7 linked regions of the Ovis aries genome follow. The protein of the gene in region 5 purifies or fractionates together with the protein of the main gene of each other region. This does not show direct contact. Links are inferred from orthologs where the notes say so. Each region holds a gene or a part of one and is shown on either strand. Other genes may lie near its edges. The genes, in order: SLC39A7, ATP1A1, CDC37, LRPPRC, ERBB2, ACSL3 and TFRC.

Region 1 (4,266 bases), on a different chromosome or scaffold from region 5:
TTTTCACTACTAGAGGATCCACTGTCACCAATACAGGCATACCTCAGAGATACTGTGAGTTCAGTCCCAGACCATCACAATAAAGCAAGTCACATGAATTTTTTAGCTTCCCAGTGCATGTAAGTTATATTTACACTATCCTGTAAGTGTGCAGTAGCATTATACCTACAATGTAAGAGCTTAATTAAAAAATACCGATTAAAAAAGGCTAACCATCACCTAAGCCTTCAGCAAGTTGCAATCTTTTTGCTATAGTAACAGCAAAGATCACAGATCAAGGTAACAGTAATGAAAATGCTTGAAATGTTGCAAGAACTACCAAACTGTGACTCAGATGTGAAGTAAACAAACAGTGTTGGAAGAAAGGTATCAAAAGACTTGCTCAACAGAGTGTTGCTACAAATTTGTAAAAAATGCAGTATCTGCTAAGTGCAATACAGAAACACAATAAAACAAAGTATGCCTGTAGTACAATTTGTTTCAAACTCATGAGTGGCAGTCTGGTTTGGGGCTAGGTGAGCAGAGGGTAAAGGGCTTGAGGTAACCATGTTTGGTGTACACCATCACCAACCTGCTTTTTGCTGCAGCCAGACTGGACCAAGATGGCAAAGTCTCCGACTTCATGGGGCACCTCATGTAGCAGAACAGTCATTGTGGTCAGGATCCCCAGCCCCCGGCCCCCTCGAAATGAAGCACCAATGGCTAGACCATCCGTGAAGTTGTGTGCCAGGTCTGCAGCCAAGTTCAGGTACCCTGATACACGTAGGTCTTTTATAGGAGAAAGGGAAGATGAAAGAGTTAGAGGCATTCATCACCCCTAGTCCCAGCCGTGATCAACCATTATCACATCTCCCCGAGAGACCAGTTCATATCCAGCCCTAGTATTTCCCAGACACCTGCCATCACCCACAGCGCTATTTCCAGCAATTCACAACTATGTCTCTGGCCCAAGCCTATGGAACCCTGGCTCTCACCTGACCCTGCTTTCTCCTCTTCAGCGTTCTGAGGTCTCACTGGCCCATCTTTGGGCCTTGTACTCCCCCCTCTCCTCTTCCTCAATGCCCCTGCCTCCTTTTCTTCTTCCTCTGAGCTCTGTTTCTCCTTCGAAGAACGCTCTGTACGTGAAAAAAGGAATTGGTGTAAGCGGAGAACAAAGATCTGCCAATATATCCTCACAAGGCTAGTCTCCTCCCACTTCAGAACCTTCAAATGAGGAGATCCAAAGGTAGGCAATGTGGCTTTCAGAAAAATTGTTCCTGGGCTCACCCTGTCTTCCATGTTCATGACTTTCATGTGTGTGACCATGAGCATGTCCATGTCCGTGACTGTGTCCATGTCCTCCTTTTACATGTCTCACAAATTTCTCCACCACAAGAAAGGCGACAATTCCACTGAGGACCCACAGTCCTACAGAGAGAATGGGGCCCTGGCCTGGGAATAGATGCATTGAGACATTAAGGGAGATGTGGATTCTGGACTCTTCCTCCCCACGCATAGGAGAAGAACAGGAGAGATAGACCTTCTCCAGCACCCCAACCCGTGTCTCCACCCGCCCCTTCCTCACCACTGTGGGAATGTCCATGTCCTGGCTGCTCCAGAGGGTGGTGAGAATGAGGTTCTGGAAGAAGAGGGAGAAAAGGCCAGATGAGGGAACCAAGCAAGGGGTGTGTATTTGCAGGAACACTAGAAGGTGAAGGGTCACAAAGGGGAAAGAACAGTCTTGCCCAAAGACTAAAATTCATTAAGATTTGAGGTAGAAGCTAAAGATCACTTACCCAAAGCATGAGGAATGAGGTGCAGGAAAGCATCTCCCAAGAGCCCACCAGAAGCAAAACTCAGCAAGATCTGGAGCAAAGAGCGGTGGCGAGCGGAGTTTGACTCCACAGGGATAAGAAAGAGGACGAAAAATGGAGCTGCAGAGATCAGCACCGTGGCCCCCAGTGCCTGGTGAGGGAGAGTCAGGGGTTAAGAGGTGTGGGGTTTCCCAACAATACAGCATCAGCCTCCCTCTGCCCCATCCCCAGGGGACTCACATAGGCCCAGAGAGTGACAGTGTCCAGGTCCTGCTTGACGCCTAGAGCCCCAGACTCCCCATAGCCTCCATGACTGTGCTCATGGTCATGTCCGTGTCCTCGGTGGTGGAGGCTCTCATGGGAGTGGCCGTGACTATGGCCATGGTGCAAATCCTCGTGTGCATGTCCGTGGTCGTGAGCGTGGGTATGCCCATGCCAGATGCTCTCGTGAGTGTGGCCGTGGCCATGGGCATGGCTGTGTCCGTGGTGGAAATCCTCATGTGAGTGCCTGTGGCTGTGGCCGTGGAAGTCCTCGTGCAGGTCTTCGTAAAGGTCTCCATGACCCCCGTGTCCGGCCACTAGCAGCCCCAAGGCCGCCCAGGTCAGCAGTCCCACGGCCACCCAGCGGGGGCCCCCCAGGCCTCTGGCCATCACGCTGACCAGAGGGACAGAGACAGTGACTCCACTTGGCCCTCACTTCTACACCCATGAGGGGTCCGCTTTACTCCGTTCGCGCCCACCGTCCACTTCTATGGGCCGCTCCCCCATTCCGTTCTGTCCCCACCCACATTGTTCCCGAGACTCTATCCCGAACCCCTTCCCTGATACAGGGCCCCCGGGACTCCGCTCTAGGCTTCGATCCTCCACTTTATGGACTCTCTGGGCTCTCGTCTCTATGACCCGCAAGGTGAGGAAAAGGGCCTGGAAAGGACAGTAGAGAAAAGCAGGGAATTCTCACCGGCTCCGGGATCCTCTCCTTTCCCGGTTTACTCGGACGTGGCAGTCCCGCCCCTAGCTCCCGCGAGAACTTGGGAGTCCCGTTCTACCTCGGTCCCAGCACCTTTACCAATATGGCCGCACTCCGGGTGGCGGGGATGCGGACCAGCCTTGGCGCGCATGCGCGGACGTGGAGGTTATTTAAGGGGATGCCTGGCGAGACTGGCTAACAGGCTGGAGAAGACCGCCTCCTCCGTTTCCAACTAGACGAGGGGGCGGGAACTAGCGCGAAGACTTCCCGTCTATACCAAGATGGCTGCCACACTGGCGCTGTCATTTTGGTACAGGGCCGGGCGAAGCGCTTAGTTTGACCCGGTTGAAGCCAGAGTCGTTTCCTCTGGGGCTTCCTCGTGCTCGGCTCGTCCCCCCGAGCGGTCCTCGGCAACCCCTGGTGCCGCTCGGCGTCCCTACACTCAGCTGGGAGTCATGTCTTGGGCTGCGCGCCCGCCCTTCCTCCCCCAGCGGCATGCCGCAGGGCAGTGTGGGCCGGTGGGGGTGCGAAAAGAAATGCATTGTGGGGTCGCGTCCCGGTGGCGGCGGCGGCGGCCCTGGCTGGATCCCGCGGCGGCGGCGGCGGCGGCGGCGGCCGGAGGACAGCAGGCCCCGGAGCCGGAGCCGGGGGAGGCTGGACGGGACGGGATGGGCGACAGCGGGCGGGGTGAGTGAGCCCGCAGACGGGCCCGGGCGCCGAGACCCCGACACCGGCGGCCCCTTCCCCCTCCCGGGCGCTCTCCCGGGCGCCCCCGCCCCCTTGTTTGTAAACACGCGTCCCCTCCTCCCGGGGGCCGCAGTGCCCTGCCCCCGGGGCGGGGCGGCCAGGGGGCGCTTCCGCTCTCCCAGCGGCGGCCGCCGGAGGCCCGGCTGCCCCGCTGTCCCCGGCGCAGGGCCCCGGTCCTCGAGCCTGAGGACCCTGGACATTGGGAGGCGAGTTCCGCGCCCTCGGCGGGGTCTCTCTCCCCTGCACGTTCGGGCGGCGAGCTGGGAGTGCAGAGGCTGGCGGGTTCCCCCCACGTGCTGCCCCACCCACACGAGACGCCTCCGGCCTGGGGTGGCCAAATTCACTATTTGGAGCTTGCCTCCCCTCAGCTCTCCTCTTGTTTATCAGCCCCCTCCTCCCACCACGATTAGGGGTTCAGCCCTTGTTTGGCAGTAGGCTGCCTCTGGACTTGGGAACGGGTGGAATGGGGGCGCGGTGGGGAAATCAGAGAGAAAGAATGGAAGTCTCCCGTTGGGCGATCCAAGACTCATTTTCTCTTTTTGTCTCTCCTGTCTCTGTGTGTCTGTGCCTGTGTGTACCCTCCCTCACCACCCCCCCCAGACTCGCGGAGCCCAGACAGTTCCTCCCCAAATCCCCTTCCCCAGGGGGCCGCTCCCCCTTCTCCTCCCGGACCACCCTTACCCCCTTCAGCAGCTGCGTCCCTTGGAGGTTCTGGGGCTCCACCCCCACCCTCGATGCCACCCCCACCACTGGGCTCCC
Region 2 (3,500 bases), on a different chromosome or scaffold from region 5:
CAACTATCTGAAAACACAAGACAGGCATTCACTGCATGATGAGTACTAATTTAGAATAAGGCAAATATTTCAAAATTTAAAACCTTACCAAGTCTTCAGCACTTTTTAATTTGCTCAGTTACATTTCTCTTAAAGGTTTTTTTTTTTTTTTTTTTAACTTTTTGATCCCTCATCTGGGGCTTACACCGACATTTTAATACCATTTGGCTTTCTCCGGGGTAACTAAAAAGCTTTGGAGATGAAAAATCGATCCTCCAGGTGAGAAACACCAGCGATCACATGGACCCTGAGGGGCACTAAGGAGGGTGCCCAGAACTGCTAAGAGGTGATGCCACGGTGGGGTGGGGGCAGTACCTTGATTCCAGCACTTCGGCATTTGCCCACAGCATCTGGGACAGCAGCCCGTGGTGGGTCAATCATGGAGATGAGCCCCACGAAGCAGAGATTATCAACAGGGAAGTTCACATCGTCGGTGTCAAACTGGAAGCCTTCAGGAAACTGCTCATCTGGCAGCATCAAGTGGCAGAAACCTGCAGGAGGGCAGGGAGTCTGTGAGGACTTCCGGTGATAGAGGAAGCTGCAGGATACCAGCTTGTTGTGCAGCAGTTTGTTAGTTTGGAAAGCTTTTTTAAAATTCTACTTTTATAACCAAATGAGTTTCACTGAACATTTATGAATGATACGGAGTCCTTGGAAACCACGCTATACAGACAGAATCCATTACCAAGCCTCAGAGGATGAGGCTCTGTTTAATGTGGAGAAATGGGAGTCTGAGCACCATGGTTTCAGTCCCAAATTGGGAAAGGAGTAGGTCAAGGTTGTATATTGTCAACCTGCTTATTTAACTTATACGCAGAGTACATTGTGAGAAATGCCGGGCTGGATGAAGCACAAACTGGAATTAAGATTGTTGGGAGAAATATCAATAACCTCAGATACACAGATGGCACCGCCCTTATGGCAGAAAGCGAAGAGGAACTAAGGAGCCTCTTGATGAGTGTGAAAGAGGAAAGTGGAAAAGGTGACTTAAAACTCAACATTCAAAAACTAAGATCATGGCATCCAGTCCCACTACTTCATGACAAATAGATGGGGAAACAATGGAAACAGTGACAGACTTTATTTTGGGGGCTCCAAAATCACTGCAGATGGTGACTGCAGCCATGAAATTAAAAGAGCCTTGCTCCTTGGAAGAAAAGCTATGACAAACCTACACAGCATATTAAAAAGCACAGACATTACTTTACTGACAAAGGTCCATATAGTCAAAGCTATGATTTTTCCATCATGCACAGATGTGAGAGCTGGACTATAAAGAAGGCTGAGTGCCAAAGAATTGATGCTTTTGAACTGTGGTGCTGGACAAGACTCTTGAGAGTCCCCTGGACAGCAAGGAGAGCCAACCAGTCCATCTGAAAGGAAATCAGTGCTAAATATTCATTGGAAGAACTGACGCTGAAGCTGAAGCTCCAATACTTTGGCCACCTGATGTGAAGAACTGACTCACTGGAAGAGCCTGATGCTGGGAAAGACTGAAGGCGGGAGGAGAAGGGGACGACAGAGGATGAAATGGTTGGATGGCATGACCGACTCGATGGACAGGAGTTAGAGCAAGCTCCAGGAGTTGGTGATGGGCAGGGAAGCCTAGAGTGCTGCAGTCCATGGGGTCGCAGAGTCAGACATGACTGAGCAATTGAATGGAAGTGAACTGAGACCCGCCCCCTCATTTACTTGGACTTTGGCACATGATGTGATTACTTGTCTCTCCTCTCCTCTCTGGATAAAAAAACCAAGGCCATGGGTCTACTCACTGTTCATCTAACCAAAACATACACTGCTGAGCAGCTGTGTAGAAGAAAGAGGCCAAGCTTCCAGGATAAATGCAGATCAGACACACTCTGCCCAAGGGGTTCATCATCTAGTACTGTTGTTAATACAAGAATTGTGATACTCAAGACATTTCTTTCGATGTTGTGTGGAGGTTACAACGTCCTTTAAAGTTATATCAGGTGCTTTGTGGACTCATAGGAGAGACTGCTTCTACTGTGGGGTGGTGGAGGTGCAGAAACAGAAAAAAAAAAACAAACCCACACTTAAGAATGACCTTTCAGTTGAATAGAGACCTAAGATACCTCAAGTTAGACTGAAGAGCAGGTAAGAACAAGAGTATGGGGACCAGGTAATCAGTTCTATCTAAGTTACTCAACTAAGGAGAACAGAGGAATTACATTCATTTTTTTATCTGTACAAAAGATGACAGATGCTACTTTCCCTATGACACACTGGGTGAACGTGCTTCTTGTCCGCAGTGGCTGACACAGAACAGGTGGCATCTGAGGCTCCAAGTTCACCATTCACCTAATCTGGGAGCTGGTAACACAAGTGCCCAGGTAAATTCACAGCCATTCTGTGGCAGCCGGGAAGCGGCTTTATTCTAGATACCCTAGGAATGAATGAATTTTCATTTCATGAAGCCTACAGATCACGGACATAGCAGCAAAAGCCAGACAACAACTCTCTTCCCCTCCTTTTCTGAGCAAACAGAACTGACCAGCTTGAGACCAAAGGTCTAAGTCAGAATCAGAGGCAAACCGGCAGGATTTTGTTGCCCGGTGTCTGCCGTGTTTATGGTTTTCAAAACAAAGGGGGCAAATAAAGGGAAGTTAACGAGAAGCAGAGGTTAACGCGGTGACTTGCAATTGTTTCCCAGACAGTCAGCGTACCCAGCACACGTTCTCCCAGGCCACCCAGCTCCAGGTAGGCATTCTGAAAGGCGTCCTTCAGCTCCTCGTCCAGGGGCTGCTCCTTGCCATGGATGAGGATGGAGCTGCAGCGATCCAGGATCCTCTCCGGAGCACCTTTCATCACCAGTAGGTGCCGGGGCTCACCTGCATTGGCATTCTTGTGGATGGATAACTGTAAAGAATGGTAAGCATGCAAACGTTAGACAGCTGGGCCTGACAGCCCAGGGAGGGAGTTTTGTTTTGCTTTTTTTTTCCTGTGGCTGTGACATGTGGCTTGTGGGATCTTAGTCCCTGACTAGGGATTGAACCCAGACCCTTGGCAGTGAAAGTACATCCTAACCAGTGGAGCACTAGGTAAGTTCCTAATAATTGTTCTGAAAGATACAAGATCCCTTATTTCTGAATTTAGTGTATTACACCCTGTAGCACACTTTGAATGCTACAAAGGAAATGAGTGTGGCAAGGTGCTCATGCATCCCTGACACATGTTCATGTACACAATTTTCCCAAAGAAAATCCAAACAGGGACTGGCAGACTCATGCGCACCTGCAGCCCTGCCCAGCCCTCTCCCCCATCCCCACACCCACTCCAGCCCACAAAGGAGAACTCCAAAGGGCCTGGACAACACGCTAGAAAGAAGAGGCTCCATTTATCCTACTAATGTTCAAATAAATTAGAATTTTCTACACGGACACAGATGTCAAATTCAAGCACTCATAAAGAGTGTGACTAATTTGTTTTTAGAAAGCATTTAA
Region 3 (4,075 bases), on a different chromosome or scaffold from region 5:
GAAAGGGGGACTCCCCCGCCCCCGCCCGCCTACTCGCGGGTTTGAATGGACCGTGAGGGGGAGGGGCAGCGGCGGGCGGGCGCTTTTGTCCGGATGGCCCCACCCCTTCCCGGGGCCGGGGAATCCCCCACACCCCACCCATTTAAAGACCTTTACTCCTTCCTCTCCAGCGCCCCCCCAAACGCCTGCTTGGTTGGGGGGAGTCTGGAAGAGGCGCCCTTCACTCAAGTGGCTGAATCTCTACCCATTCTCCCTGTCCCCCGCCCTGCGCCCTTTAATCTGAGATAATCCTGGCCCTAGGCTGCAACGCAGCCTTTTATCCCGGTATCAAAGCGTGGGTAGGGATACATGAAAATGTGTGGCTGCGGTCGCCCAAGCTCAGTGTAATAGAGTTCTTAGAGTCTGGAACGAGGAAGGGGATCCCAGACGAAAGAGGGAGGGACTGCGAGGAGTCCCAGAGTACCTCGACGGAGAAAGACCCCCTGCGTGCGCACTTCCAAGCTCTTCCACCCCTCCCCCACCTGGCGCGGGGCACCCGCACTGGCCGCTAGTTAGACACTAGCGACACCCAGCGGATGCATGGGGAGCCGCCGTAGACAAGCTAATGAGGCCCGTTAAGTGCGGTCGGGTGATTCCAGAGGGGGCGTGTATGCGCGAATCCCCGCTAAGGAGTGGCAGAAGATGGGGGAGGCAAGAGGGGAAGCTGTGGTCCGAGCCAGGGAAACACCAGGTCTCAAGGCAGGGCCACATCGCCCCCATCTCGACTCCTCGAGGGCAGGGCCACAACCTTCCTTCACTTAGACCCTCCTAGAGCAGGGCCTTGTACCCCTTGTACTGGGAAGGTCCTTTCCCATCAGGCACCATCTCCAGGACAAAGTTAAGTCCCTCTTCACAAAAGACGGGAGCGAGGTCTTTTCGCCGAGGCCGAGCCCCAGTAGTGGGCTCAGGCTGACGTCACTGTGGCGTGGCTAAGAGGACAATCCTCTTTTTCAGTCTCGCCAACTGCCCCCTCTCCCAAGGCTGCCGTAAACGCCCACCGTGGGGTAGCGGGAGATGAGGGGGGCTCGAGGTTGGAGAACCCACCCGTAATTCCCCAGGAAGGGCCTAGTGGAGGCCGGAAGCCGGATGGGGTGAGGTCTCAGCGGACTCCCGAGAGCCGGAACACGTGCGCAGGGCTCTTTAAGAACTTGGTCGCCAGTGCCGCTGCTGAGGTTACTAAGGATGTGACGTCACGCGAGGGAGGGGTGTAAGCGTCAGGGCGGAAGCGGAAGGGGCGGGGCTCCGCGGGCTGTGTCTCAGTGCTGCCGCTGCCGCCGCCGCCGTCGCCGCCACCGCTACCAGAACCCTGGAGGGCTGGGCCCCGAGGCAAGATGGTGGACTACAGCGTGTGGGACCACATCGAGGTGTCTGATGATGAAGACGAGACGCACCCCAACATCGACACCGCTAGCCTCTTCCGCTGGCGGCACCAGGTAGAGCTCGCGCGCCCAGCCCCTTCCCCCACTCCCGGGACTCCGCTTCAGAGTTCTGACCCCCTGATACTGCCGGGGGGCCCCAGCCATTGATACCTGGGATTGCCCCCTACAGCCTGGACTTTCCGAATAGCCTAGGGTTCTTCGATTCAATTCCGGGGCCATAGAATTGCCGGGACCCCTGAGTTCCTTGCCCGCGATGCCGGCGCCGCCCCCCCCCCCCCACCCCCACCGCCCCGCGCTTCCAGTTTCTTCTTGAAACGCCAGGTTGACCTGTACGGTATATTTTTAGAATTTAGACTGCCAAGACAAGCTTTTGACGTGCCTCCCAATCCTGCTTGGGATCTTCCATTTACACCCAGATTTCTACCTCAGAATCTGGATCCTGAACCTAGTCGGGTACCCAGTTAAGATCTTGGCTGTTCCATGGCTCCTCCTAACCCCTGTGCTCAGTCGCTTCAGTCGTGTCCAACTCTGTGACCCCATGGACTGTAGCCCGCCAGGCTTCTCTGTCCGTGCGATTCTCCAGGCAAGAATACTGGAGTCGGTTGGCATTTCCTTTTCCATGGGATCTTCTCGATCCAGGGATCTTTTATGTCTCCTGCATTGGCAGGCAGGCTCTTTACCACTGGCCCCGTCTGGAAGTCCTCCAAAACCCTAGAGTTCCCAATAGTTTAAGTCTGTTCTGCGACCTGCTTTTCTGGATCCTTATGGTTCAGATCCAGAAGTCTTACTCCTCTGAATAAAATAATTCTGTCTTCCCCTGAGATTTCTGTTCCTGGCTTGGGACTCCAACCCACACCCAGGACCCCTCCCCTAGAACAAAGATTGGTACCCCCTCCCCCCAAGGCCCTCAGTCTCATCTAGGCCTGGAATTTTGAAACTTGGGTCCTGTTCAGAATGAACCACCACCTCCACCCTGATGGAGCCTCCAATTCCGGAGGCTCTTCTTTAGCCTCTGGTACTGTTAGACCCAATTTCCCATTACATCAGGAAACCCTACCCACGTGGCTTCCTGCCCAGCCAGAACCCCTGCCCCTCCTTGGTACCTCACACCCAGTCCCCGCCCACCCCCAAGACAGACTTCCAGTGGGAACCTTTGCCAGCTTCAGAATGCCACATTCAAACCCAAGTCCAGGACCCAAATCCATCCCATCTCCCTTCTGACCCAAACTTGGTGTGCTATTCTCAGACATCCACAATGACCCTGCTGTTACAAGGAACCCACCCATCCTGATTCCAGATTCACCGCCCCTTCTTTTATCTATTTTCCCCCAAATACAGACCCCCAGAATCCCAAGTCTGTATGTTCTTTCGACAACCTGCAACCCCCCCCCCCACCCCCGCAGCCGCTCAGCTGTGCTCACAGACCAACAGAATGGCTCTCCTGAGACCTTGTGTGCTAACTTCTTGCTCCACCAACTCAGAGCTCCTACACCCACATTCCAGGGGCTGCTTTGCTCTCACACTTATGGAATATACCTTCTAGAACTTTCCAGTTAGGAAAACCTCATTCTGTCTTCCCATGTATCAGCTTGCAGTTGTTTATCCAGAAACACCTAGAAGCGCCCTTCCTCATCCTGCTGAGACACAGTATCCGTGCCTACATCTAGTCCCAGTTCTGGGTCCAACCCATTACTTAAAGCAGCAGCCTCCTGGCTAGGGCTTCCCTGGTGGCTCAGATGGTAAAGAATCTGCCTGCGGTGCAGGAGACCCAGCTTCAATCCCTGGGTGGGGAATATCTCCTGGAGTAGGGAATAGTGACCACTCCAGTATTCTTGCCTGGAGGGAGAATCCCATGGACAGAGAAGCCTGGTGGACTACAGTCCATGGGGTTGCAAAGAGTCGGATACGATTAAGCGACTAACCCTTTCACCTGGCTAGTGTACCTGGTGGGAAAGCCACTGGAGTGGAAAAAGAAAGTTCTAGTATTTCTCTCTTGCCATATGTGACATTTTATGATGAAATATTGAAGCTCTCCGCAAAGCTTTAAAGCTCATTCTCGGGAACACCTATTCTTGTCACGAAGTTGATCTCTATCACCAGGTTTGGTCCTGCTGGTTTGGGAGGCCATGCCCGCTCTCATACAGCATCCTCCTCTCACCACGCCCTACTCCCTCCTGGCGCAAAACCTTTCCCTGTCCAACCGCTGAGGACCCAGGGCTGTCGTGGAGATGAGTGGAGGCAGGGAGCCTGGTGTCTCCAGCACGAGGTTCAGCTGCCAGTGACTGGCAGCCTGGGCTCCAGCCCTGCCACAGGACCATCACTGCTTTGGGGGAGCGAGCCCTCCGCCTCCATGAGACTGTCGTGAAAATGAAATGAGATTAGATCTTGAAAGAACTTGGCTCGGCGCCTGGGAGGAAAGAGTAAGCAATACCAAGAGTGGAAGAGGGGATTAGCCAAAAGGTAGCCTGGTACCCTTGTGAGCGCAGGCCTGCCCGACTGGGTTCATATCCTGCTCCTTCTGCATATCACTGACTTGCTGTGATCCAGTGAGGGTTTTTTTTTTTTTTTTTTTTTAATTAATTTGACCGCACAGGGTCTTAGTTATAGTGTGCTGGATCTTTAGTTGCAGCATGTGGAATCTATTAATAGTTCCCCGA
Region 4 (3,500 bases), on a different chromosome or scaffold from region 5:
AGATTACTGACAATACCTAATACAGTGTAAATTCTATTTGCTGGCACCCAGAAAATTCAACATTTGCATTTTTGGACTTTCTAGAATTTTTTTTTCCTGAATATTTTTCGTCCAGGGTTGGTTAAATCCAGAGACTTGGAACCCACAGGTTCCAGAGGGGCTGACTATACTAAGAGATACAAAAGGGAATAGTCCATTAAATTGAGTAGGCAGTTCTACTGTATTATTGTTAATTTCTATGATACAATGTCCATATATCTGTCATATTTCACTGTTCTTTTGAGTTGTGGTGATGTTACCTATATTTAATTTCCTAGGCACCAGTTATGAAGTCTTTGTTAGAATTGATTCCTGAATTAATTGACAAGGAAGAAGCATACACTTGCCTCATGAAAAGCTATGGTAATAAGTCTCACGTAACTGCATTATTTAAGTGATTTAAATATTTGTAGTATAGTCAACAAGTCTTCAGCTCAAAAGCAGTAATCCTAAATATCAGATAATTGCTTACGGTATAAATAATTTATTTAGCCTTGGGGTATGTTGTAAAACTACATTTAAGGGAGTTCCCTGGTGGCTCAGTGGTAAAGGATTTGCCAGCCAATGCAGAAGGCATGGGTTTGATCCCAGATCTGGAAGATCCCCACATGCCATGGGGATTAACCCTATGCGCCACAACTGTTGGGCCTGCCCTCTAGAGCCCAGGAGCTGCAGCTGCTGAAGCCCGTGTGCCATAGGGCCCGTGCTCTGCAACATGGGAAGCCGCTGCAACAAGAAGCTTGTGCACCACCACCGGAGAGTAGCCTCTGCTCGCCACAACTAGAAAAAAGCCCATGCATCAGCAAAGACCCAGCACAGCCAAAAAAGAAAAAAAAGAAACCCCGTGTTTAAAAAAAAAAATCTGAAATTATTCTTATATGTTACTGTAAACCACCTCTGAGCATCTTCTGAGGGGCCCTGCTTTGTTGAGTTACGATCCAGCTTCCTGGAAAGACTTAGAAGTCCACTTGGGTGTACATTCTGGGAACCAGTCCTGCCCCTCCAAGGGCCTGGCGCCTGAAAATGGCTATATGTTTAAGACTTCACTTGCCTGTTTGCTCCTTCAGTGGCCTACCGACCTCCTCTTGGAAATAGCAAACACCTTCATTAAAAAGTGGGCCCCAAGGTTTTACCTGAAGTCACAGTTTTGAAATTGTAGTCTTTTAAGCAGTTTTCTTCCCTGGTTGCCAGGCGACCACACGTGAAAGGGAACCAGTTTAAAGTTTCCTCAGTAATTAAAATGAATGTCAGCATTTGTAAGTTATGATCAGCTGTCCATCTGACACCCGCTGATTTGTTCACTTGAGCCACAGGGTAAATAAAGAGTTGCTTTGTGGATTTGATTGTTGGCAGGACACCAGACTTAGCAATCAGAATTCTCCATTTTTTACCCTTATGAGCGGAATATGATATATTTTGAAATAGTGCTATAGTCATAAACTTTCTTAAGGTTACATTTGCAGAATTGGCAGGTATTAGTAGTATGTAAGATGAAGTAGTATAAAACAGCATGGCTATCCTACTGAATTGCGTGACAGTTGGGAGGGAGAAGAGCAGGGAGATCAGGAAATAAGGAAAGAGAAGATAGGAGTGTTTTGGGAGTAGCTCCCTAGAAGATGGTAGAGCTTGGGTTGAGCCCTTGGCAGTGGAAGGAGAAGCCTTTGGTCTCTTAGGGAAGGGAGCAAAGGATTCACACAGAGGAAACTGGCTTCACCCAAACTAAAGATCTGTTCAGCTTCAGTGAGAGGTGTACAGTCATCCTCAGTCCCTTTAGGGAGATCCTTGATTGATCCCTGAACATCCCACATCTTCCTGGAGGCTCACCTTGGTGCTGGTAGAGTTGGGGTTAATTATTCAGCATCAATGTAGGGTAGATGTTAACAATCTAATGCAAGATCAAAGAGTCAGATCACTAACAATTCTTAGCAGAGCCTGTATAATTTCAACAGTGAACTTAAAAATATTTGCATGTCAGCCACAAGTAGAGAGCCAGCTGAACTTAGCTCCTAGGCTGCTGCGTCATCCAATTACATGAAATATTAGTGTAGCTTGTTACACAGATGTATGTAGTTTTTTAATGTATATTAGTAATGTATATAAATTTGGGGGGATCACTAGCTAACTATATGCCTCACTTGCATATTTTAGAATAGGAGAATATATTGAAAGTCTTCTGGTGGTGTTTAGCAGCTTAGTAGCTGATCTTGATGTAGATACAGACTTCCACATTACTTATTTTACATGCCCCTCATTACAAAAGTCACTGAATTAGCCTGATTTCAAAGTGTGGTTTTGTAGAGAAGATTGAATGGCGTGTGCTTACTCTGTGATTGAAGACTTCTGTCTGGTCAGTTGAACTAGCATGGGCCTTTTAAATAGCTGTGTTGCCGTTTTCCTTCTCTTTCATAGTGGGTAATGCTGAGTGAGAGGTGTGGGGAAGAAGACTGGGTTGTAGATCCTGGGTATGGTTTTTTTTGTTGAAGGTAGTTGAGTATTGGTTTCGTTTAGGATGAAGGGATCCAGGTATGGATGAATGGCTAAGTGTTTGGGAAAAACAAGAAGAGAGGTTGACTTTATCTATGATTAATATCTTTTTTTCTAGTCTTCGACAATGATGTCACATCTGCTAAAGCACTATATGAAAGTTTGACTGCAAAGAATGTAAAATTGAATGATCTGTTTCTAAAGCGTTACGCAGTTTTGCTGAAGAATGCTGGAGAGTCTGTCCCTTTCACTGAACCTCCTGTGAGTGTTTCTTAATTAAGAGGGGGGAAATACCTCTACAGATTTGTGTATGCTTCATAATAATGTGTGAAGAATAAGGTGAATACTTAATTACATGAGGATTAGATCTCTGTGAAGGACCCTCCAGGGAGGGCTTCAGGAACTAAAGATATGCTATGGGTCTGGCTGCTGCAGAACAGCCCTCTGATACCTAGGTTTAAAATACAAGGTCACTCTCAGACCTTCAGCTGTAGGTATGAATTTATCAAATGTCCTTGGGGCAGTTCTCTCTTCATTTCAACTTGAAATAGGATTTAATGGCCTGTATTTCAGTAACTAAGCATATTATGTCACTGTTAATTACTTGTTCATTTCCATTTTTAAATAAGTTGGTTTTTATTTCTTTATCTAAGGTTTTTAATTGAAGTATAATTGACATAGCATTATATTAATTTCAAGTGTACAAAATAATTTGATTTATGTAGATACTGCAGAATGATCATCACAGTAAGTCCAGTTAATGTTGGCCACCATACATAGTCAAATATTTTTTCGTGTGAAAACTTTCAAGATCTGCTCTCTTAGCTGCTGTCGAATGTGCAGTACAGTATTATTAACTATATATATATATGTATGTATATTGTCTCCCCATGGTTTACCCACTTTCATCCTCCCCAACCCACACCCCTGCCTGCCTCAGGCAACCTTTGCTGCTGCTGCTGCCACTCAGTCGCGTC
Region 5 (3,500 bases):
GCACTCTGGCTCAGCGTCTGCAGCTTGGGTCCAGATACCCAGTTGGGATCTGACACTCCTTTGCTCTGCCTGGGGAAATCCCAGAAGTCCCTGCAGTGACCAGGCCACTGGTGGTCCCCAGGCCCCAACTATGACTCGAGCTGACCCTCCTTCCCCACTTTCTGGGTGGCATTGCGGGGGTGGGTATGCCTTGCCAGGAGGTTGGCATGTGAGTGGCATTGTTTGCTCGGGAAAGGGGCAGGGGGTATCCAGAGGATTCATGATTCATCATTGCCTCTCTTGGGGGATTTTTACCCATTGGCCCTGAGTCGTGCCTTTGGGACAAAAGAAGGCTTTCTTTGCCAGCCAACACCCTGGATTGAATGGGCAAGCTCCCTAAGGCTGGCCCAGTGGGACCCCCTCTGGATGCTCAGGATGGGGCAAGTTGGCGGGGGGAACCTCCTCTCTGATTTCCCTCCTTTTCCCAAACTTGCACACTTTCTTTTGCTGTTGCACGTGGCCGGTTGGAGAAGCTCACTGCGCAGGCCTTTTGACCCATCTTCTCTGTTCTGCCAGTGTGCACCGGCACAGACATGAAGCTGCGGCTGCCAGCCAGTCCCGAGACCCACCTGGACATGCTACGCCACCTCTACCAAGGCTGTCAGGTGGTGCAGGGTAACCTGGAGCTCACCTATCTGCCTGCTGATGCCAGCCTCTCCTTCCTACAGGTGAGGCCCATGGGCAAGACCCAGCCAGGCCCTGCTTCCTGCTGGGCTGAGCCCTCTGCCTGCAGATGGGTGGTAGAAGAAGGTTCCCCGCCTTACATTTTCTCTTTCGTTGTGGCTCCTGAACCGGGAAGTCATTTCTGATGTCTCACCCCATCTGTCCTACACTAAGACCAGCTGACTCTCTGTCTACAGCGTGGCTGACTGTGGACATCTCTGGGTGGAATGCATCTATTCCTGGGCTATATTTTTTGCTCTCTCACCAGCACAATCACCTTCCCTTGTCCAACTGTCCCAGCCACTGTCCCCCTCCTATCTGGAGTAATGAAAGCCCTGGCAGGTTCTGAGTCCAGTTCTGCCATTGACAAGCCCTGTGAATGTGGTCTAGCCCCTGGCTTCACTGGATCTCAGTTTCCCTGTCTGTATATTGGGAGCCATGAGTGCTTCTCTGGTGGCTCAGATGGTAAAGAATCCACCCGCAGTACAGGAAACCCGGATGCAATCTCTGGGTCAGAAAGATCCCTTCGAGAAGGAATTGGCTACCCACTCCAGTATTCCTGCCTGGAGAATCCCATGGACAGAGGAGCCTGGTGGGCTACAGTCCATGGGGTTGCAAAGAACTGGACACGACTGAGTGACTAATACTACATTGGGAGCCATAGGCATACTTGGACTCCTCCTGGGGAGCCCATTTAGAATATCATGTGGGAAATATATGTGAAAGGGTCAGGAACAGGCGAGCGAGTGGAAGCCAGCCTCTGTGTTGTGTCCCAGCGTGGGGCCAGGTGTGCGACACTTAGTCCATTGAATCCCAGACATCATCACGTCCAGGCATTTCCTTTACAGATGGAACAGCTGAGGTGTAGAGAGGGTGGGGTGCCCACAGTTTACAGAGTGCTGCCCCCACCCCCTCATTTTCTTTCTTGATCATACTAGAATTTGGTCCTAGAACCTGGTTTGGGGAGGTGGTGGGCAGACTGCTTGGCAGCTGGGCCCTTGCCCAAGATCCCCAAGCACAGGGGACCTTGAGGAGGTCTTGGGGGTTGGATGGTAGTGGTCCAGGGCCTGACCTTCCTCAGCCCTCTCCTCCTCTGTCCCTTTTCCAGGAAATCCAGGAGGTGCAGGGCTATGTGCTCATCGCTCACAATCGAGTGAGTCAGGTCCCACTGCAGAGACTGCGAATCGTGCGAGGCACTCAGCTCTTTGAGGAACACTACGCCCTGGCCGTGCTGGACAATGGAGACTTTCTGGAAGGTGCTGCCCCTGCTGCGGGCACGGCCTCAGGAGGGCTGCAGGAGCTGCAGCTGCGAAGCCTCACAGGTGACCATCTTTATCCTTGAAACTTTCTGCTGGTTACTGAGAGCTGGCCAGGGGTCCCTACTAGCCAAGGGGTGACTGTGAGTCAGAACTGGGGTCCTGTCAGAACTGGCGTCCTGGGGACGGATGCAGGTGGAACTAGGAAAGGCGCCCTTGTGAAGATTCAAAAAGATTTCCCCTCTTCCCAGGAAGTCACAGCTTGCACCAGCCCGCATAGTTTGATGATTAGGATGCAGGCTGGATTTTTGCCCACGTCTTGGCTGAGTGCACATGTACAGTGAACAACCTGTGTAACTGTACGTGGCAGCCCTGAAACAGACAGTGTTTCAGACTCTGAGTGCCCGGTGCTTTGCATGCATAATCCCATCACTCCTGCCATAATCCTGCAAGGGAAACATCAATGTTCTCATTTTACAAATGAGGAAACAGGTTTATGGAGGATAAGTCACACAGCTAGGTAGTGGTGGTGAGGCTGGGTTTCACACTCTTTTAATTGCTAAGCCGTGAGCACACAGTAGAGGTGGAGGAGAGGAGGCGGCGGCATGGGCAAGTCACTCCCCCCTGGATCTTTGTTTGTGGGTGGTATTGACAAGGCTCAAAGATGCTGAAGGGGTGTTCTCTGCTCCCTGAGGAACCTGGGGTGTGTTTCAGAGGCCTGCTCCACTTTTAGAAGGCAGGCAGGCCCCAGGGGAGATAAGATGCCAGATGGGGAAAGAAGCCCCTGATTATTGCCCACCCCACAGAGATCCTCAAGGGAGGGGTCTTGATCCAGCGGAACCCCCAGCTCTGCCACCAGGACACGATTTTGTGGGAGGATATCTTCCACAAGAACAACCAGCTGCCCCTCAAGCAGATAGACACCAACCGCTCACGGGCCTGTAAGCCTCGCTGCCCCCTGCCTGCAGCCGCCACCCTTTTTCACGCAGCCCAGCGACCCCAGACTCCTGGCTTACTCCTTGTGCCCCTCTGCTGCCGCACTAACAGCACCCGTCTCCCCTTTCTCTGCATCTCTTCATCTCTGTGGGTCTCTGTCCTGTTTTTCTCTGCTTCTAGATCATGCCTCTGGCTTTGAGGTTCTCTTTTCCTGCCTGGGTCTGCCCTTCACTGTGCATTTCACGTCCTGGTCTCGGTCTCTCTCACTGCCTCTCTGTTTCTTCCTCCAGGCGCACCCTGTTCTCCAGCTTGTAAAGCTCCCAACTGCTGGGGAGAAAGTTCTGAGGACTGTCAGAGCTGTGAGTTACAGGGCGGCCCAGGGCCTGGAGGGCGGGGGCTGAGTGACACGGGAGGGGCTGTGCCAGCCCTCGGCCTCTTCCCTGGGGCAGGAAGTCTCCCCAGAAGGTGGTGCTGGTGAGGGGCTGGTGCCTAGACTGCCGCCCAGCCCTCATCCCGCCTTGACAGTGACGCGGACCGTCTGTGCCAGTGGCTGTGCCCGCTGTAAGGGCCCACAGCCCACCGACTGCTGCCACGAGCAGTGCGCTG
Region 6 (4,088 bases), on a different chromosome or scaffold from region 5:
TGGCTTGGGGCCCAAGATGCGTGAGCTTTCTTTGCTCCTCCCCTCATCACTCCAGACAGCTCAAGTTCAGGCGGCTTCACAGATTTTGAGATTCCCTTGGGAAATCGAGCCCCTGCTTTTGCCCAAGGCTGGCTCATGCACGTCACCTTTCACCTACTTTAAATATAAGTTTTGCATCGCATGGTGGTTTACTATTCAAGTAGCTATTTCTAGCTCCTTCATTACTTCAAAACAAAATGAAACCCTCCAAATGTTTTACTTCTTGTGGAATCGAGTCTGACTTAAAAGTTACAACTTCGTTCACAGACCACTAAATAATATGTTGAATTAAAGAGAAAAACAAAAAAAGCTCAACCCCACTACAGCTTGCATAACGAAAGCCATCTTTTTAATAGTGTATTGTAGTTGCTATTTTAGTCATTTGTGTTTTGCTTTGTTGGCTTGCAGGAAGGCAAGTCTACCTGTACTCTTTTCCCCGTTCGTACTATCTAAAGTGAAATATAATGGCAAGCTCTTCAAAATACAGAAACACGTTCAGCTTCATAAAAAGAAGCTCAGAAACAGTACTGTGGGGTCAACTTTATCCTTTAGAAAACAAGTACCAATCTTGTATATGACTTTCCTGGTAGCTCAGACGGTAAAGCGTCTGCCTACAATGCGTATAGAGTGAGTGCACCGAGGGGAGATGGGCTATTTGCTGGGTTCGGTGAAGCCAAAGTAAGAATAAAAAACCTGCTTTGAATTCCTGAGCCCCTCTCGCTTCAGACATTTCCCCCAATCATTTTATTTTGCAAAATCTGACAAATCTGTGCAAGAACGAAACACATAATCCAGTTAAGAGGGAAGATAATGGCGCACTTTTTTCCAGATCTATATTAAGATTTATAGATTACAGCAACATCTGCGCTTGTAGTTTTTGGGAGGGGCGAGGCGGTGGTCTTTCCAACCCTAGGGGAAGGGCCCTCCCGCAGACCGAGCCGGACCGCTCCTCCTCCACCTACGTCCCGGCCGCACAGTCCAGCTCCCCTCCCCCGCCGCCGCGGTCCAGTCCTTCCCCGCCGACCGGCCCCCGCCCCGCGCAGGCTGCGGCTAGGTCCCGTCCGCCGCGGCTCGGGCGAATGACCCGTAGTAACCCCGCCCCGCCCCCGGCCGCCCGCCGTGCTCCCGGCCGGAATTCGATAGGCCCAGCCCCGCACGCGCCACCGCCCGCGGGCCAATGGGCGGCGGCCTCTCTGCATATGCAACGAGCGCCGGCCGGGGGTGCGCGTCCCGGGCGGTTCGGCTCAACAGACGCTGGTCTGCCGGCGCCGGTGTGCGAGTCCGCGCCTGTCGCCGCGGCCGGGGCTGGGACGAGGCGGTGGCGGCGGACCGAGTAGCAGACGGCCGTCTCCTCGCAGTGCGACCGCGGCGGCAGCGTCAGGGTCTCCAGGAGGCGGCCTAGGGCGCTAGTGCTTTGGGGGCGCAACCCAGGCCTGCGTGGGCCCGAGGAACCGGGGCCCCGGCGTCGCGGTGAGTGCGGCTCCCGTGGTGGTCATGGTGGGGCCTCCGCGTGCGGAAGGGCTGCGCCCCAAGGGCGACCCTGGCCCGGGGGAAGGATGCGGCCGGCCTGGAGGCCCCGGATCCCCGACGTGGCCGCCTAGCCCGGCGGTGCGGGCGTACCGGGCCACTCCGCGGCGAGGGTGAGGGGTGCCGCCGTGGGATCCGGGAAGCGGCTGAGGTGGGGCTCGGGGCCTCAGAGCCCACGCGAATCCGGGGTGGGGGGGGACCGCAGGCCGAGCTGTCCGGGGGAGGAAGGATGCGCGGGGCTCCCTCCCGGCGCTTTGGGGGCGGGGTGGGCTGGGGGTTGGCCACTTTCACTAGCCGGGCTCTGACGCGGTCCTCGGGAGGAAACACCCCTGCGGTTTCCGAAACCCATGCTGGAGGGGCGGGCGGGGGGTGTGTTGCTGCGGGCGGTGAGGAGAGATTGAGGAGTATGAGGTGGGTCGACCTTGGTATTTGTTCTGGCCGCGATCGGAGGCGATGGGCCTGGGATGAATCCTATTCGTTTGGGGTTGGGAGTTGGTTTACTTTCCCTAGGTGTATTTTAATTATGCACTGGTAATGGAATGGGTAATTCCGAGCAACTCGAGCGGGGTAGGAATGATCCAGCCCGTTTCACAGATGGGGAGCCCGAGGCCCAGAAACATTGAGCTGGTTTGTCCAGGCTGGCTTTGGAAAATGTGCTCTAAGCTATTGTGTATTTTGTTGTTTAGTCGCTAAGTCGTATCCGACTCTCTGCGACCCCATGGACTGTAGCCCACCAGGCTCCTCTGTCCACGGGATTCTCCAGGCAAGAACATTGGAGGGGGGTGCCATTTCCTCCAGGGTATCTTCGCGACGGAGGGATCGAACTCTCGTCTCTCCTGTCTCCTGATTGGCGAGCGGGATTCTTTACCACTGAGTCAGCTAGGAATTGCAGAGAAAATCACAGCTTCTCATTTGCCGTGATTTGGGGGCAAGTTAACGTGTCCAAACAGCAGTTCTCTCCACCTGTAAAATGGGAATAACCACTTCCTTAGAGAGTTGTTAACATACTATGCAGAAACTCTTCGTAGGAAACCTGGAATGTTGTCAGCTGAGAGGAAATAGGCCTTGTGAAATTGACTAGCGGAATAAGATGACAAACAGCTGACACTTACTGAGCCTTTATAACATTCCAGATTTCCTATGAAGAGTTTCTGCATAGTATCTCTAAAACTGTTAACAACTCTCTAAGGTGGTAGTTATTCCCATTTTATAGCTGGAGAGAACTGCTGTTTGGACACATTAACTTGCCCCCAGATGACTGCGAGTAAGAGGGGAAGCTGTAATCAGACCCGCCTGTTTGAAAATCTAGAGCTCTCTTATCCAAGCGTTATATTATGCTGCCTCTCTTTGGTGGCTGGCTGAATAGTTGTCACGGTGGAGTTTTGTTTGAGTGGCCAGGAGAGCAGTCATTTGATGATAACCTTTTCTGGTTCCCCAGGTTTGTTTCAGGAGTTGAGGGGTGGTGCTGAGTTGCTCCTAAAATTGTGTGTTAGAAGGTTATTACTGGGAAGAAGTGTGGCGACACGGGAGTGTACTGTATAGACCGTTGTTTTGTGTTCTGGAGTGTTCTTGTGCAGTTCTTAACACTTAGGAATGAGTAAGGCTTCTTCAGTCACTGGCATTTTCCTTTTAGTCTTTTCCTAGTTCATTCTTTTTCTGTAAAAAGAGTTGGTTCTGTAGTAAGATGGCAGTGTTGGGTGTAGGGCTGGATGTACGTAGATATACACTGGATGTACGGGGCTGGGGTGACAAGTCATCTAGTGTCCTTGGGTCTCAGGTACTGGGTTTGTGAGCTATGTGCACTGGATGATTTAAAGTTGTCCTTCTTGAAGGAAGGATGGATCGGGAAAATCAATCCCTGCCTGGTTTGGGAAGTCAGAGCCCCCCAAAGTCCCAGCACATTTCTCATTGCTTGTGTGCTCTTCTGCTGTCCTGTTTAACAATTCCTTATTTAGTTAATTGCTCACTTAGAGCTTTTAATTCCTGTTCTGTGTTAGGCAACATGTAAGGTGCTGGGAATATAGCAGAGAACATAATTGATGCCATTTTTGCCTTTATAGAGGAAAGAATATGAAACAGGTCATCATACAAATAATAGATAATTACAAATTATGATGTGTATAATGAAGGAATTTGTGAATGAGTATTATATAGACTATTGTGATTTAGATGGAAATCTAGTCTAGGGAGGGTTTTTTTTTTTTAAATGGTGGGTGACAAGTGCTTGGATGATTAGACTGGGTACTATTAAAGAAAACTTTTAAATTTGGGCGTGATTTTAGATTTATAGAAAAGTTGCAGATATGGGAATATTCCTATATACCATAATCCCTATACCATAACCCAGCTCCCCTGCTCTAATATTAGCATGTCACATAACCTTGGTTCATGTGTCAAAACAAAAGATTAATATTGATACTATACTCTAAATTATAAACTATGTTCAGATATCACCAATTTTCCCATGAATGCCCTTTTTTCTATTCCAGGATTGAGTCCATGATACCAGCTGGCATTTTGCG
Region 7 (3,869 bases), on a different chromosome or scaffold from region 5:
TGACCTAGTATTAGTTTTTTTAGGCTCTAAAATCATTTTAAAGAAAGGATCAGTAATGATTTTCATCTGTCATTTTCTCTGTATTTCTGTTTAATTCAGCCCTTAGCTGTTTTATTGTAGTGGAAACTTCCGTATGGAGGCTCCAACCAAAAAAGGAACAAAAAACAACCCAGTGCAGTTAGAGTTTACAAAGGAATTGACATTAGAAGATTAGTAGCTTGGTTCTCAACATTCTTAAAATTCAGGGAAATTTAAACATGCAAGTGAGAATGATGGTGGTTTTACTATATCAGGTCGTTTTCTCACGGCAAACGCTGTAGCATTGTGTAAGGTCTATGTTTTGTTTCCGTAGGTGGAATATCACCTCCTCTCACCCTATGTGTCTCCAAGAGAGTTTCCTTTCCGACACATCTTCTGGGGCTCTGGCTCTCACACTCTGTCAGCTTTACTGGAGCACTTGAAGCTGCGTAAGAAACTTAATGGTGCTTTTAATCAAACACTGTTGGAAAACCAGTTGGCTCTGGCAACTTGGACTATTCAGGGAGCTGCAAATGCCCTCTCTGGAGACATCTGGGACATTGACAACGAATTTTAAATGTGACACCCAAAACTTAATACGAGAACATCAGGGTAGTGTGGTTTCTAGACTTATATTGGTTATGCTAAATTTTCAGTAGGGCTAAAAAACTAATATTAAAAATCTACCCAGTCTTGGTACTATTAGATGTTGGTCTTTAGGCAGCAGCTTTTAATACAGGGTAGGTACTTGCATTTCTAGTTAAATTGAATAATTTTTTAAAATGTTCACAGTAGAATATTTTCTGTGATTATCTCTAGACTTTTTAGTGCTTTGTAATGGTAACTGCCTCTTTCCTGTCATAGTTCTGAAAAAGTCAGAACCAGTTATGTGAACTGTTGGTCTAAATCCTAAGGACGTGAGCTGGTTATCTTTTGAGTTGGAGGAGGAAGGTAGCTCAGAGTGATCTTCCATCTTCATTTGATGCTAGACAGACACCAGGCTGTAAGGCTTTACTCTCCACGTGGGGTCTCTGCCTTCTGTAAGGATTTAGCTGGTTTCCACCTCTGAAAGTGGAACAGTTCACTTTCAGAAGAGATGGGACATGTTTTCTTGCCAATGAGGTCTGAAATAGAGGGCCTTCAGCTGCATAAAACGAGGTTCAACTGTTTGTCACAGGAGTAAGGCCTTAATGTGGCAACCTCAAGATTATCTATGAAAAGAGGAGACCAGAAAGCCAAAGACCTAGTATATTTTATTTTCCTCTATCCCTTGTCCCATAAATCTTTGTTAGTTTTTTGTTTTCACTTATTCCAAGGTATTTTGAAAGAGAACCAGGTTTTAGGTGTTTAATTTCAAACTCAATTTATCAGACTTTAGAGAACACAATGCCAAATTTTGGCCAAAGTGTTAATTTTTTGGAAAAGCTTCCTGTCATTTTGGCACTGAGATATTTATTGTTTATTTATCAGTGACAGAGTTCACTATAAATGGTGGGTTTTTTTTTAATAGAAGATAATTATCGGAAGCAGTGCCTTCCATAATTATGACAGTTATACTGTCGTTTTGTTTTTTTTTTTTTAATAAAAGCAGCATCTGCTAATAAAACCCAACAGATACTGGAAGTTTTGCACTTGTGGTCAACACTTAAGGGTGTTAAAAAATAACCGCAAGCCAAATAAAATTATAAAACTCAGTCTTGAGAATTAAATTTAATTAGTGGTTGCTAATCAAGTTAAACTTCTATTTAGCTAACCAGATAAAACTGGCAGTTCTACTAAATGCAGTGAATTGTGACCAAGTTATAAATTAATGTCACTTAAAAGCTGTGGTTGTATTCATACATGCAAAATTTTACAGTTCAATTTCTCTAAGATGTAACTTCAATTTGAATTTTGCAAAATTTCCAGTACCTTTTCACAAACCTAACTCACATTATCGGGAGCAGTGTCTTCCATAATGTATAAAGAACATGGTAGTTTTTGCCTACCACAGTGTCTGTATCGGAGACAGTGATCTCCATATGTTACACTAAGGGTGTACGTAATTATCGGGAACAGTGTTTCCCATAATTTTCTTCATGCAATGACATCTTCAAAGCTTGAAGATCGTTAGTATCTAACATGTATTCCCAGCTCCCTATAATTCTCTATCTTTTAGTTTTAGTTGCAGAAACATTTTGTGGTCATTAGCATTTGGTGGCTAACTTCAACCACTGTAAAATAAAACTACTTCCTTCAAGGTTCTTTGTTTTTAAACCTAATGTGTTTTGTTATATTTGTGGTCTCTCCAGGCCTTCTGTTAGGCAGGATAGTAGCATACATTTATAATGTTTGCTGTTTCCAGGTGAATTTAACTTTATCCCCTTATTTGCATGTTATCTCCTATAAACGTAGTTCACACAAGTTTGAATCCAGAATTAACCTTTTAGCTTATAGCAGTAGAAACTTGTACCAGAGTTTGGGGGGGAGGGGCAACTGCAGGGTTGAGGGAGGTAAAGTTTGCTAAAAGGTCTTTGATCATGTCTCCCCAACCATCAGTATTTGGTGGTTATAAGTTAAACGTAGACATGAACAAGTAAGTTTGAGACCACATCAGTTAGGACTTTTTTTTCTACTCACTCATTTTTATTATAAACCTGATAATCAGCTGTTTGTTCTAAGGCAGTTCAATACTGTCACCTAAAAAAAAATTCATAGGGTAATCTTAAGATTCTTAAATTTAGTGTCATTTATGTAAATTAAAATAGATCTAGATTAATATAGCCTCACTGATTTGACTATTCAGTCTGTTTCAGTCTTCCAGTGTTTTATCTTGAACTGATACTTAGTGTAAGTGAAAAGGTCAGAGTTGGGATTCCTGGTTTGAGTATCATGCTTTGTCATTTTAATGAAAGTTCAGTGACTTCAAGGCATATTATGAATAACGGGTATACATTTTACAGCAGTAAATTTCTTCAGAAAATTTTTCTGTAGTTAGGATTAAGTTATTTGCAATCAAACAAGTCATTATGTGGTAAGGGGCTTAATATTCCTGGAAGAAATGGATATCTGACTAATGCCAACCAGCTGGTCAGATTTTTTCGGTTTTAGATGTCACATGTATTTTGAAGATAAAAGGATAAAATGAGGGAGCTTTGTCATGATTCACTATTCTAGAACTTGCATGACCTTTATTGTGTATCCTCTGGAATGTTGTTGAAATTTTAGTTTACTAAAAATAGTGTATTAGCCAGTTTACTGCTCAGCTGTATGTTTGTGAACAAGTGATATGCCCTTAAAATTGTATACAATCTGGTATGTGCAACAATGTGGAGATTCCTCAAATGATTTAATAAAATGCTTGAACACTGAGTTGTCGTTTTATTAGATTTCACTTAGGTTCCCAGTAAAACTGAGCGGAAAGTACAGAGTTCCCATATACTCCCTGCCTGCACACCATCCCCATCCCAGTTTCTTTGATTAGCAATACTCTGAGAGTGCCCCACCCCCACCAAATACATTTGTTATAATCAGGGACTCTATCTTGACACATCATTATCCTCCAAAGTCCATAGTTTACATTAAGATTCACTCTTGGTGGTTTACATTCTATGGGTTTGGACAAATGTATAATGATATATTTACCGTTACAGTACAATACAGGATAATGTTACTGCCCTTAGTATCCTGTTCTACCTCTTCAGCTTCCCTTCCCAGTAACCTCTGGCAACCACTGATAATTTTTAGCGTTTCCATAGTTTTGCCTCTTCCAGAATGGCATGTATTGGGTTGGCCAAAAAGTTCATTCAGGTTTTTCCATTACATCTTAGGGAATCATACGGTTCATTCAATGCAGCTTTTTCAGATTGGCT

The links.
Region 1: the proteins of ERBB2 (region 5) and SLC39A7 purify together in Homo sapiens (affinity purification with mass spectrometry; 3 studies listed by BioGRID and IntAct, with this or other methods). This does not show direct contact. The link is inferred for Ovis aries from reciprocal best matches to the Homo sapiens genes ERBB2 and SLC39A7.
Region 2: the proteins of ERBB2 (region 5) and ATP1A1 purify together in Homo sapiens (affinity purification with mass spectrometry; 4 studies listed by BioGRID and IntAct, with this or other methods). This does not show direct contact. The link is inferred for Ovis aries from reciprocal best matches to the Homo sapiens genes ERBB2 and ATP1A1.
Region 3: the proteins of ERBB2 (region 5) and CDC37 purify together in Homo sapiens (affinity purification with mass spectrometry; 3 studies listed by BioGRID and IntAct, with this or other methods). This does not show direct contact. The link is inferred for Ovis aries from reciprocal best matches to the Homo sapiens genes ERBB2 and CDC37.
Region 4: the proteins of ERBB2 (region 5) and LRPPRC purify together in Homo sapiens (affinity purification with mass spectrometry; 3 studies listed by BioGRID and IntAct, with this or other methods). This does not show direct contact. The link is inferred for Ovis aries from reciprocal best matches to the Homo sapiens genes ERBB2 and LRPPRC.
Region 6: the proteins of ERBB2 (region 5) and ACSL3 purify together in Homo sapiens (affinity purification with mass spectrometry; 3 studies listed by BioGRID and IntAct, with this or other methods). This does not show direct contact. The link is inferred for Ovis aries from reciprocal best matches to the Homo sapiens genes ERBB2 and ACSL3.
Region 7: the proteins of ERBB2 (region 5) and TFRC purify together in Homo sapiens (affinity purification with mass spectrometry; 3 studies listed by BioGRID and IntAct, with this or other methods). This does not show direct contact. The link is inferred for Ovis aries from reciprocal best matches to the Homo sapiens genes ERBB2 and TFRC.

The regions. Positions count from the first base shown.
Region 1 is NC_056073.1:7,539,829-7,544,094, reverse strand, and holds the start of SLC39A7 (zinc transporter SLC39A7), read right to left. Parts: upstream 2,801-4,266; 5' UTR 2,752-2,800; intron 2,449-2,751; 5' UTR 2,445-2,448; coding exon 2,034-2,444; exon of another isoform or gene 1,945-2,033; coding exon 1,776-1,944; exon of another isoform or gene 1,619-1,775; coding exon 1,565-1,618; exon of another isoform or gene 1,432-1,564; coding exon 1,267-1,431; exon of another isoform or gene 1,116-1,266; coding exon 975-1,115; exon of another isoform or gene 769-974; coding exon 572-768; exon of another isoform or gene 1-571. Other genes in the region: RXRB (retinoic acid receptor RXR-beta), read left to right, coding at 3,216-3,447, 4,108-4,266. UniProt on the Homo sapiens protein: Transports Zn(2+) from the endoplasmic reticulum (ER)/Golgi apparatus to the cytosol, playing an essential role in the regulation of cytosolic zinc levels.
Region 2 is NC_056054.1:93,737,746-93,741,245, reverse strand, and holds part of ATP1A1 (sodium/potassium-transporting ATPase subunit alpha-1), read right to left. Parts: intron 2,917-3,500; coding exon 2,724-2,916; intron 531-2,723; coding exon 355-530; intron 1-354. UniProt on the Homo sapiens protein: This is the catalytic component of the active enzyme, which catalyzes the hydrolysis of ATP coupled with the exchange of sodium and potassium ions across the plasma membrane.
Region 3 is NC_056058.1:12,789,711-12,793,785, reverse strand, and holds the start of CDC37 (hsp90 co-chaperone Cdc37), read left to right. Parts: upstream 1-1,275; 5' UTR 1,276-1,370; coding exon 1,371-1,472; intron 1,473-4,075. UniProt on the Homo sapiens protein: Co-chaperone that binds to numerous kinases and promotes their interaction with the Hsp90 complex, resulting in stabilization and promotion of their activity. Inhibits HSP90AA1 ATPase activity.
Region 4 is NC_056056.1:80,399,231-80,402,730, forward strand, and holds part of LRPPRC (leucine-rich PPR motif-containing protein, mitochondrial), read left to right. Parts: intron 1-317; coding exon 318-402; intron 403-2,641; coding exon 2,642-2,784; intron 2,785-3,500. UniProt on the Homo sapiens protein: May play a role in RNA metabolism in both nuclei and mitochondria. In the nucleus binds to HNRPA1-associated poly(A) mRNAs and is part of nmRNP complexes at late stages of mRNA maturation which are possibly associated with nuclear mRNA export.
Region 5 is NC_056064.1:39,822,576-39,826,075, forward strand, and holds part of ERBB2 (receptor tyrosine-protein kinase erbB-2), read left to right. Parts: intron 1-555; coding exon 556-707; intron 708-1,810; coding exon 1,811-2,024; intron 2,025-2,764; coding exon 2,765-2,899; intron 2,900-3,184; coding exon 3,185-3,253; intron 3,254-3,419; coding exon 3,420-3,500. UniProt on the Homo sapiens protein: Protein tyrosine kinase that is part of several cell surface receptor complexes, but that apparently needs a coreceptor for ligand binding. Essential component of a neuregulin-receptor complex, although neuregulins do not interact with it alone.
Region 6 is NC_056055.1:225,030,297-225,034,384, forward strand, and holds the start of ACSL3 (fatty acid CoA ligase Acsl3), read left to right. Parts: upstream 1-1,288; 5' UTR 1,289-1,509; intron 1,510-4,088. UniProt on the Homo sapiens protein: Acyl-CoA synthetases (ACSL) activates long-chain fatty acids for both synthesis of cellular lipids, and degradation via beta-oxidation.
Region 7 is NC_056054.1:191,487,526-191,491,394, reverse strand, and holds the end of TFRC (transferrin receptor protein 1), read left to right. Parts: intron 1-352; coding exon 353-595; 3' UTR 596-3,369; downstream 3,370-3,869. UniProt on the Homo sapiens protein: Cellular uptake of iron occurs via receptor-mediated endocytosis of ligand-occupied transferrin receptor into specialized endosomes. Endosomal acidification leads to iron release.